2 linked regions of the Canis lupus familiaris genome follow. The protein of the gene in region 1 interacts with the protein of each later gene in a pairwise test. Links are inferred from orthologs where the notes say so. Each region holds a gene or a part of one and is shown on either strand. Other genes may lie near its edges. The genes, in order: KCNA3 and CAV1.

What was found.
Region 2: the proteins of KCNA3 (region 1) and CAV1 come close enough for resonance energy transfer, tested with the Homo sapiens proteins (2 studies listed by BioGRID). The link is inferred for Canis lupus familiaris from reciprocal best matches to the Homo sapiens genes KCNA3 and CAV1.

The regions. Positions count from the first base shown.
Region 1 is NC_049227.1:41,800,088-41,804,491, forward strand, and holds the start of KCNA3 (potassium voltage-gated channel subfamily A member 3), read left to right. Parts: upstream 1-1,307; coding exon 1,308-2,870; 3' UTR 2,871-4,404.
Region 2 is NC_049235.1:55,588,766-55,593,360, forward strand, and holds the start of CAV1 (caveolin-1), read left to right. Parts: upstream 1-1,762; coding exon 1,763-1,792; intron 1,793-3,049; coding exon 3,050-3,214; intron 3,215-4,595. UniProt on the Homo sapiens protein: May act as a scaffolding protein within caveolar membranes. Forms a stable heterooligomeric complex with CAV2 that targets to lipid rafts and drives caveolae formation. Mediates the recruitment of CAVIN proteins (CAVIN1/2/3/4) to the caveolae.

The sequences.
Region 1 (4,404 bases):
GTCTCCCAGCTTCACAGCCAGAGCGCGGCCAACCCTACCTCTAGGCCGGCAGCAGGCCCTGAAGTCGGGGGTCCTCCCAGGACGGACTTCGCGGGGGAGGTGAATATCCCCTCTCATTTTCCTCATAGGTTCCCACCGACAGGAAACCTGGCGCTTGGGAAAAGACCCGGCTGCTGTCGCCAACCCCAGCCAGAAACTTGGCCCTCGATTGCTCCCGACGGCTAGAGTCCGCGAGAACTGTTCGCTCCAGGAGCGAAGTCCCGAGGGCCTCTACTGACCCAGCGTCCCCAGCCCCCAGGTGCGAGACTCCTGAGCGCCCCTGAGTCCGTGGGCTTCTCGGGGACACGGGAGCCACTCCGCTTAGAGCGCTCCGGGCGGCGGCCTGTAGCCGCGGGGGTCTCAGGGTGCGGGCAGGGGGCTGGCCTCCGCCCCAGGGCGCCCACCTGGCCTTTCCCGCCCTCCCTCCCGGCCCGCAGCGCATCCCCATCCCCTCCTCGCCCGCCCCGACCCGCTGACACCCGCGCCCCGGCCGCGCCCCGGGGGTGCCTGCAGGGCGAGGAGGCCGCCGCTCGCTGGGTGCGGGGCGACGGTGGCGGGGACACAAGCCCGGCGCTGGGCCGTGGCTTCGCGGGTCCCGGGGCGGGGGGCTGGCCAGGGGCTGGTGGGGCCCGGGGGCCGGTTCCCCGGAAGCAGCCTCGGCCGGGCGGGGGTTCGCGGAGGACGCGGCGGTGCGCAGCGGGGCCGTGGGGCCGCCGGAGGGGCGAGGCGGCGGGCGGCTAGGGCCCGGGCAGCGAAGGGGGCGCGGGGGAGCGGGGCGCGCGGCCGCGCGGTGGGCGGGCACCTGGAGGGGCCGCGAGGGGCCGCGGGGCTTAGGCGGGCGCAGCGGCCCCGGGAGGGGAGTGAGGGGAGGGGCAGGGCGCGGAGATGGGGAGGGGAAGGGGAGGGGAGGGAGGGGGGGGGAGGGGGGAGGGAGGGGGGGGAGGGGGGAGGGAGGGGGCGGGAGGAGGGGAGGGGAGGGGGAGGGCATGGAGAGTCGGGAGGGAGGTCGGCGGAGAGGGGCGGCACTGCCGTCCCCTTCGGGAGCCAGGCGCACCTCGCGGGCCCCCCGGAGCCAGGCGGGGCGGCGCGGCGGCAACAGGCGCGGGGCTCGCGGGGCGGGGCGGCGGCGCGCGGGGGGGGCGCGCGAGGAGGAGCCGCCCGGCCCGCGGCGCCGCCGGTCCCGCCGCATGGACGAGCTCCCCGGCCCCGGCCGCCCGCGCGCCCTCCCTGCGCAGCGCCCCGCGAGCGGCGGCCCCGCCGAGCGCGCCATGACGGTGGTGCCCGGCGAGCACCTGCCGGAGCCCGAGGCGGCCGACGGCGCGGGGGGCCCGGCCCCGGGCGGCTGGGAGCGGGAGCGGGAGCGCTACGAGCCGCTGCCGCCCGCGCCGCCGGCCGCCGGGGAGCAGGGCTGCTGCGGGGAGCGCGTGGTCATCAACATCTCGGGGCTGCGCTTCGAGACGCAGCTCAAGACCCTGGGCCAGTTCCCCGAGACGCTGCTGGGCGACCCCGGGCGGCGCGTGCGGTACTTCGACCCGCTCCGCAACGAGTACTTCTTCGACCGCAACCGGCCCAGCTTCGACGCCATCCTCTACTACTACCAGTCGGGCGGCCGCATCCGCCGGCCGGTGAACGTGCCCATCGACGTCTTCTCCGAGGAGATCCGCTTCTACCAGCTGGGCGAGGAGGCCATGGAGAAGTTCCGCGAGGACGAGGGCTTCCTGCGCGAGGAGGAGCGGCCCCTGCCGCGCCGCGCCCTGCAGCGCCAGGTGTGGCTGCTCTTCGAGTACCCCGAGAGCTCCGGGCCGGCGCGCGGCATCGCTATCGTGTCGGTGCTCGTCATCCTCGTGTCCATCGTCATCTTCTGCCTGGAGACGCTGCCTGAGTTCCGCGACGACAAGGACTACGCGGCGGCGGCGCAGGAGCAGCCCGAGGCGGCGCGCAACGGCACGTCGGGCCCCCCCGCCGCCGCCGGCTTCGCGGACCCCTTCTTCGTGGTGGAGACCCTGTGCATCATCTGGTTCTCCTTCGAGCTGCTCGTGCGCTTCTTCGCCTGCCCCAGCAAAGCCACCTTCTCGCGGAACATCATGAACCTGATAGACATCGTGGCCATCATCCCCTACTTCATCACCCTGGGCACCGAACTGGCCGAGCGACAGGGCAACGGACAGCAGGCCATGTCCCTGGCCATCCTGCGGGTCATCCGGCTGGTGCGGGTCTTCCGCATCTTCAAGCTCTCCCGGCACTCCAAGGGGCTGCAGATCCTGGGCCAGACACTCAAGGCGTCCATGCGGGAGCTGGGGCTGCTCATCTTCTTCCTCTTCATTGGGGTCATCCTCTTCTCCAGCGCCGTCTACTTTGCCGAGGCAGACGACCCCACCTCGGGGTTTAGCAGCATCCCGGATGCCTTCTGGTGGGCAGTGGTGACCATGACGACAGTAGGTTACGGCGACATGCACCCGGTGACCATAGGGGGCAAGATCGTGGGGTCGCTCTGCGCCATCGCTGGTGTCCTGACCATCGCTCTGCCGGTGCCCGTGATCGTTTCCAACTTCAATTACTTCTACCACCGGGAGACGGAGGGGGAAGAGCAAGCCCAGTACATGCACGTGGGAAGTTGCCAGCACCTCTCCTCTTCGGCCGAGGAGCTCCGAAAAGCAAGGAGTAACTCGACTCTGAGTAAGTCGGACTACATGGTGATCGAAGAGGGGGGCATGAACCATAGCGCTTTCCCCCAGACTCCCTTCAAAACGGGCAATTCCACTGCCACCTGCACCACGAACAATAATCCCAACTCCTGTGTCAACATCAAAAAGATATTTACTGACGTTTAATATATGCTACGAGTGACATGCTGTGCTCAAGTACTGCGTGGACCGTGCCCCCTTGGTCTGTGTATGCCCTCGTTTTATACATTTCCAGACCACTCATCAAAGAAAGGACATGAAGAAGTGGAAAGCACACTTCATTTTCCCTCGCCCTACTGCTTCATACTGAAACAGGTGTCTGTGTTGCAAGTGGGCTGCATTCTCTCAGCTCTCCATTTTTTCCTCCCCCTCCCTCGAATATTGCAAAGAACAAACTTACTTTAAACTTGATTTCTAGTACACATCCTCTAAAAAAAAAAAAAAAAAACTGTACATCCTGGGAGGAAACGAAACTAAAGAACAGTTAGAGTAACTGCCTAACCTCGGAATTGAAAGACAGTTGTTCTTTACTAAGTAAAGCAGGCACATGCATAAAGGATGCTTCCGTTTGCTGGACCTTTGAACATTATTGAATCTTTAGTTCAGTTGCCTATGCTGTGGATACTTGGATGAGAAGTCTGATTAGGGCAATGACTTGTAAACCCACCGTAAGGGTATTTGGTTTTTGACTGGAAGTTCTATTCGAACCCCTTCCTGGAATCTTAAAGATTTCTACAACTGTGAACAAAGGGAAGTGCCCAAGGTGTCCCGATCTAATTAGTTGAACTCTCTGGGGCTTGTTCAGCATTTCAAAAGAGATGGACAGGCAGATTCCTGTGATGTTCCGTGTGTGTGTGTGTGTGTGTGTGTGTGTGTGTTCCCGGCAACATCTATCAAAGTGTGGAAACACATGTTTTCAGTGCCGCTGAGAGAAACAAAATTTCTAATGCGCCTGCGAGATAAGCTTCTGCAGTATCACAAGAAGATTAAAGTGGCAGACACTCCTTCCAGCGGAAGTTACTAATTCGGACCTGACTGATGCAGTTCCCATAGCAACCCATGTTTCCTGGGAAACCCGAAAAAGGTTGTCATGGCATCTCTTGCTTTCTAGCCCCACCCCCTAGCCCCTGCCGTTTCCACAATAACCTTTCCAGATGGTTCCTCCTTACGGGATTTCATAAGGAAAACCACTATTTGGATAAACCGCACAAATAAAGTTATGCCTGAAAATCTGAGGTGGTGAAATGAATCACAAAATGCATATTTTTTTTACTACAGAAAATCATTGACATCATCTCATAATGACTGAATCGGAAAGGAAAATATTGCCTTTGGGATGTTAGATCTATACTACAATAAGGCATGATTTGAATTAAATGCCAATAATTAGGCAATAATTTAAAAGGATACTGTTTTCTTCCTCCAAGAAGTTTCAAGCTAACAAGTGAAATTTAAAAGCAAATGTAAAAGTGTTCTGTACATAAGCAGATGAAAGAGTCAATCAGTGTACCTGAAACCTTACTACAAGGGACCTTCAGACTTCCTCTTTAAAAAAAAAAAAAATCCAGATCCCACAACAGCACTTGAAAAGCTAAATAAACTTTAAAAATATAAAGGATACCTGTTTTTTAACTAAGGGAATTGCAGACAATCAATAGAAAGGAGGGACGGGAAGTAACCA
Region 2 (4,595 bases), on another chromosome or scaffold:
AAATTAAAAATTGGCGCAGCCCGGGTGGCTCAGTGGTTTAGCGCAGCCTTCAGTCCAGGGTCTGGTCCTGGAACCTCTGGATCGAGTCCCACATCGGGCTCCCTGCATGGAGCCTGCTTCTCCCTCTGCCTGTGTCTCTGCCTCTCTCTCTCTCTCTCTCTCTCTATGTCTATCATAAATAAATAAATTTTAAAAAAAAGAATTTAAAGGTTGTATTGCTTTTTACCACCAACAATAGCCTGTCCTTTATAGTTCTTTTACAGTTCCATATATTCTAACTAGATAATCAATTCCAAGGGTCCCATCCTCTATTACCCGTTCTCCTCCTCCTTTTGTGCCTCCGCCTTTATGGACAGACCACCAAAATGTTTCCTGTAACCTGTGCCCCTTCAGATAGATTGTCAGATTTTCTATTTCAAGTCCTGATTTTACTTTTTTTAAATTTTTAAAATCATTTTTCTAATTTTACTTTTTTAATTATTACTTTTTATTTTTTTAAAAAAAGATTTTACTTATTTATTAATGAGAGACACAGAGAGAGAGAAAAGCAGAGGCACAGGCAGAGGGAGAAGCAGGCTCCATGCAGGGAGCCTGATGCAGGGCTTGATCCTGGGTCTCCAGGGTCAGGCCCTGGGCTGAAGGCGGCGCTAAACCGCTGAGCCACCCGGGCCGCCCCTCTAGTTCTCCTTCTGATTGCATATGGAGCCACAGGCCAAAAGACAGTGAACTTCTTGACTTCTCCATAGCCCAGATGTAAAACTACTGCTTATTGTTCCATTCACCTTAGGCGTACGCTTTATAAAAAGATAGCAGCCGCACATTCAGGAATAGAGAAAACATTTGCAAATAACTGCTAACGATTTGTTAAACTTCAGATCGGTTCCTAGAAGAACCGGGTCTCCTCTAACGCACGGGCAAGTGCATTAGAAAAAAAAAAAAAATAGAAAAAAAAATTAGAAAAAGTGCAAAGAAAAAGTCCTCTATGACAAACTTGAAGCTCCCACTAAATATTCCTACAACTGTAAATATTTTTACGTCTTTTGGAAATGTGGCACAACGTGTGGGCATAAGTTTCCAGAAAGTTCCAGAAAGATGGGCGAAGCCTGCCATTCTCGTTTGCTTCAGAGGGTTGGGGGGCAGGGCAGGGGGGGCTTTCAGAAGCGGCGGGGAAACTGGAGTTCCGCGTGTCTGTGTGTCCTGTCCGGGGCCGCCAGGTGTGAGCCGGCGCGTCGCCACCTGCACCGCGCGCGCACGTGTGCTTGCTCGCCGTCGGGGGCGCATCGTGCCCAAAAGTCCTGCGCCCTTTTTCGTCCCTTTCCTCCCGGTGACAGTGGGGGAGAGCTGGGCGGGCGGGGATGGGGGCGGGGAGGCGGCTTCTCCGCGGGCAGATGCGCGGGGAGGAGCGCGGGGAGGAGCGCGACGCCCCGCGCCAACCCCGCGCCCCCGCAGGACGCCGCCGCGAGCCCCCCGGGGACGTGCGCCCCAGGTCTAGGCCACCCCCGCGGGGCGCTCCCCGCGCGCTCCCCGCCCCGCGCCGCCGAACCCCGGGGATGTGCCCGGACCCGGCGCGCAGGTCCCGGCCGGGCGCTCGCGGCAAGCCCCGGGCCCGCGGCCAGCAGGCTCCCTCCCAGCCGCCGCCCCCCGCCTGCGCCTCCCCGCCCCCCCCCCCCCCCCCCCTGCACAATACAAGATCTTCCTTCCTCGGTTCCCTTGAATAACAGCCCAGGGAAACCTCGGAGCCTTCACCCAGCCACCGGCCAGCATGTCTGGGGGCAAATACGTAGACTCCGAGGTAGGCTCGCGGGGTGCGCGCGGGGAGCCCCCGGGGCGCCCCCACCCCCACCCCACCCCCACCCCACCCCCCGCGGTCGGCCGCCGGGCGCTCCCCCGGCGCGGGCACCTCCGAGGAATGGGCCTGGGCGGGGAGCTGAAGAGGGGGCAGGAATGTCGTCCAGGCTGCTCTTCGGAAAGGGGGGCCGGCGGGCCCTAAACCAGAGGGAGGCTGAAAGTGGGGGCGGGGGGCGCCCCGGGGTCCCGAGATGGGGACCAGAGCACGCTCCTGGGTCGTGGGCGGGCCCGGGGCGCTGCTTTAGGTCGGGACCCGCACGGCCCAGCCCCTGCGCGCTGGGGGGCTGCGATCGGGGACGCGGGGTGCGCCGCCATCCCCCCGCGATCCGGGGGACCGTCCCCGCCGCTCCGCCAGGCGCCTGGACCGGCTGGCACCGCCCGAAGCCCTCGGGCCGCCTCAAGAACCCTTCCAGCATCGCGGCGCCCGGCGGGGTGTTTGCAGAGGGGGGACCTGCCCTCCCCTCCCCTCCCCTCCTGTCCCTGCCCGCCCTCCCCTCCCAGTGCCACCCCTCGTCCGCGCGGGGATCTCGCTCCCCAAACTCGCCCTCCGCCCCGCGCCCCGCCGGCGGCCTAGGAGGGACCTGCGGGAGGTCGGGGAGGTCGGGGGCGCCGGGCAGGTGCGAGGTCGCGGTTCGGGGCGGTCTGCAGGGGGGCGGGGGGCGCTGCTCCCGACACGGGCGCTTTCGGGACGCTGAGCCCCGCGGGGGCGGGGGGCGCGGAGAGTGCGGCGAGCCAGCAGGTGTCGGGGAGGTGCGGCAGAAAGGGGCAGAAAGGGGGCCCCTCCGGGGGGTCCCGGGGGCTCCAGCGGGCCCGAGGGAGACGCCGGAGAGCTTCTGGAGAGCAGGGTGGGGGAGGGGCGCCCCGCAGCCGGGGACGGGTCCCCGCGGTCGCTGGGGGGCGCGCGGGGCGGGCGCGGGCGGGGGCGGCGCGGGTGCGCGCTGACCCCTGGCGGCGGGCGGCGGAGGCCGGGGCTCCCCGCGGGCACCGAGGGGTGTGGTGTCCTCGCCTCCATCCTCTTAAGCGCCGGCGGCGCCCGAGCGGCCAGTTGGCGGGCGACCTCCAGGGCCGCCGCACCGCTCGTTTTCCTTTTTGACATTTCCTTTTTGACATTTCCTTTTTCTGGCATTGCCTTTTTTGACATTTTCTTCCCATCTCCGCCCCCCCCTCCCGCACCCCGCCGTCCCCCCCCCACCCCGCGCAGGGGCACCTCTACACCGTTCCCATCCGGGAGCAGGGCAACATCTACAAGCCCAACAACAAGGCCATGGCGGAGGAGATGAGCGAGAAGCAGGTGTACGACGCGCACACCAAGGAAATCGACCTGGTCAACCGCGACCCCAAGCATCTCAACGACGACGTGGTCAAGGTAGGGGAGGCGGCCCCGCCCGCCCCGGGGCGCTCCGAGCATCCTCCGCTACCTGGGCCCGCGCGCGCTGCCTCCTGCGCTTGAGGACGCGGGGCCCCGCAGTCCCCCCACCTTGCCCTCCCCCATCACCCCGCCGGCTAGTTCGGCTGGAATCTCGCTGACTGCCCTCCTCCTAGAACCCCACTTCTCCCCGGCCAACACACCTCCAGATCTCCGCGACAGGTTGGCCCGCGCTCCTTGGGCGAGTGAGGCGCTTGGCCCTGCGGGGCACCCTCTTGCCTGTTCCCAGGCTTAAACTCTAGCGAAGGGGGGCGCCCTATTGCACCTAGAATTAAAGCAAGTAAGGTCACTGTGTAAGTTCTTTGTGGCTCGATGATCTATGGGATACCGAGTGGGCAGGTTGTCCCAGCTCAAATCAGGGTAACCTCAAGTTATTTTCTTAACTATAATAAGGTGGGTAAAAATGCTTCAGATTGATATATTATATATCACATATATGGAGAGAGAGCATCTTAACTGGAGGGGGAAAAAGTGGTACTCGTGCACGACCAAGCTAATTTCCACAACCAAAAATAATGAGCGCCTCTGGATTTCTCCCATAGACACCCCTAGCTAGGTATATAAAGTCACTTCTTTAGTGACTGCCTGGGTCAGGCTTCCCCGAGTTAATGAGACACTCAGGCTGGAGTTCCTTTTTATATTTTCAGAATGTGTTTGGTGATTTTTTTAAAAAAAAATAATAAGGCATCTGAATGAGCTATTGGCCAAACTTAGATTTGAGTCAGTGATCAATTTTTGATTATCATTATATTATTCAACTTTGACCCTCTTAGCAAATTAAGTCAGGGAAATTTATTGTCCGAATCCATCTGGATTGGGAAATCATGGGCTTGAGCCATTCTTGGCAGAGGGTTTTCTTTGAGGAGTGGGGAGGGCCAAGGAAAATCCTGGCCTGGAAGATTATAGCGTGAAGACCCAGTTCTGCACAACTCCAGAACAGCCAATGGGGCAGATGAGCAATTTCCACCTACCCAGTCTCCTATCTGGGGCTGGGAAGAGCCATAGTTCAGAGACTATGCACATTTATGAATAATTTATTTCAAAAAGGGAAACAATTTAACCTGTAACGGGAAGGAAAATGTAACTGTCAGAATTGACTCTCTTGGCTTGCTGGTAGAGGAAAAAGGAAAATTGGAGCATTAGTAGGTTTTTCTACTAGCCAGATTATGAAATATTTAAAAGCAGCAGCAATAAAAAAAAAAAGTAGCTTATAAACTTGAAATTAGAATTGCTAAAAACGATTTACTAAAAGCGTCACCTTAAAGAGAGGGAAAGACATTTTTGCTTTTTCTCCTTCTCATGTAGCTTTGGACAAGAAGAA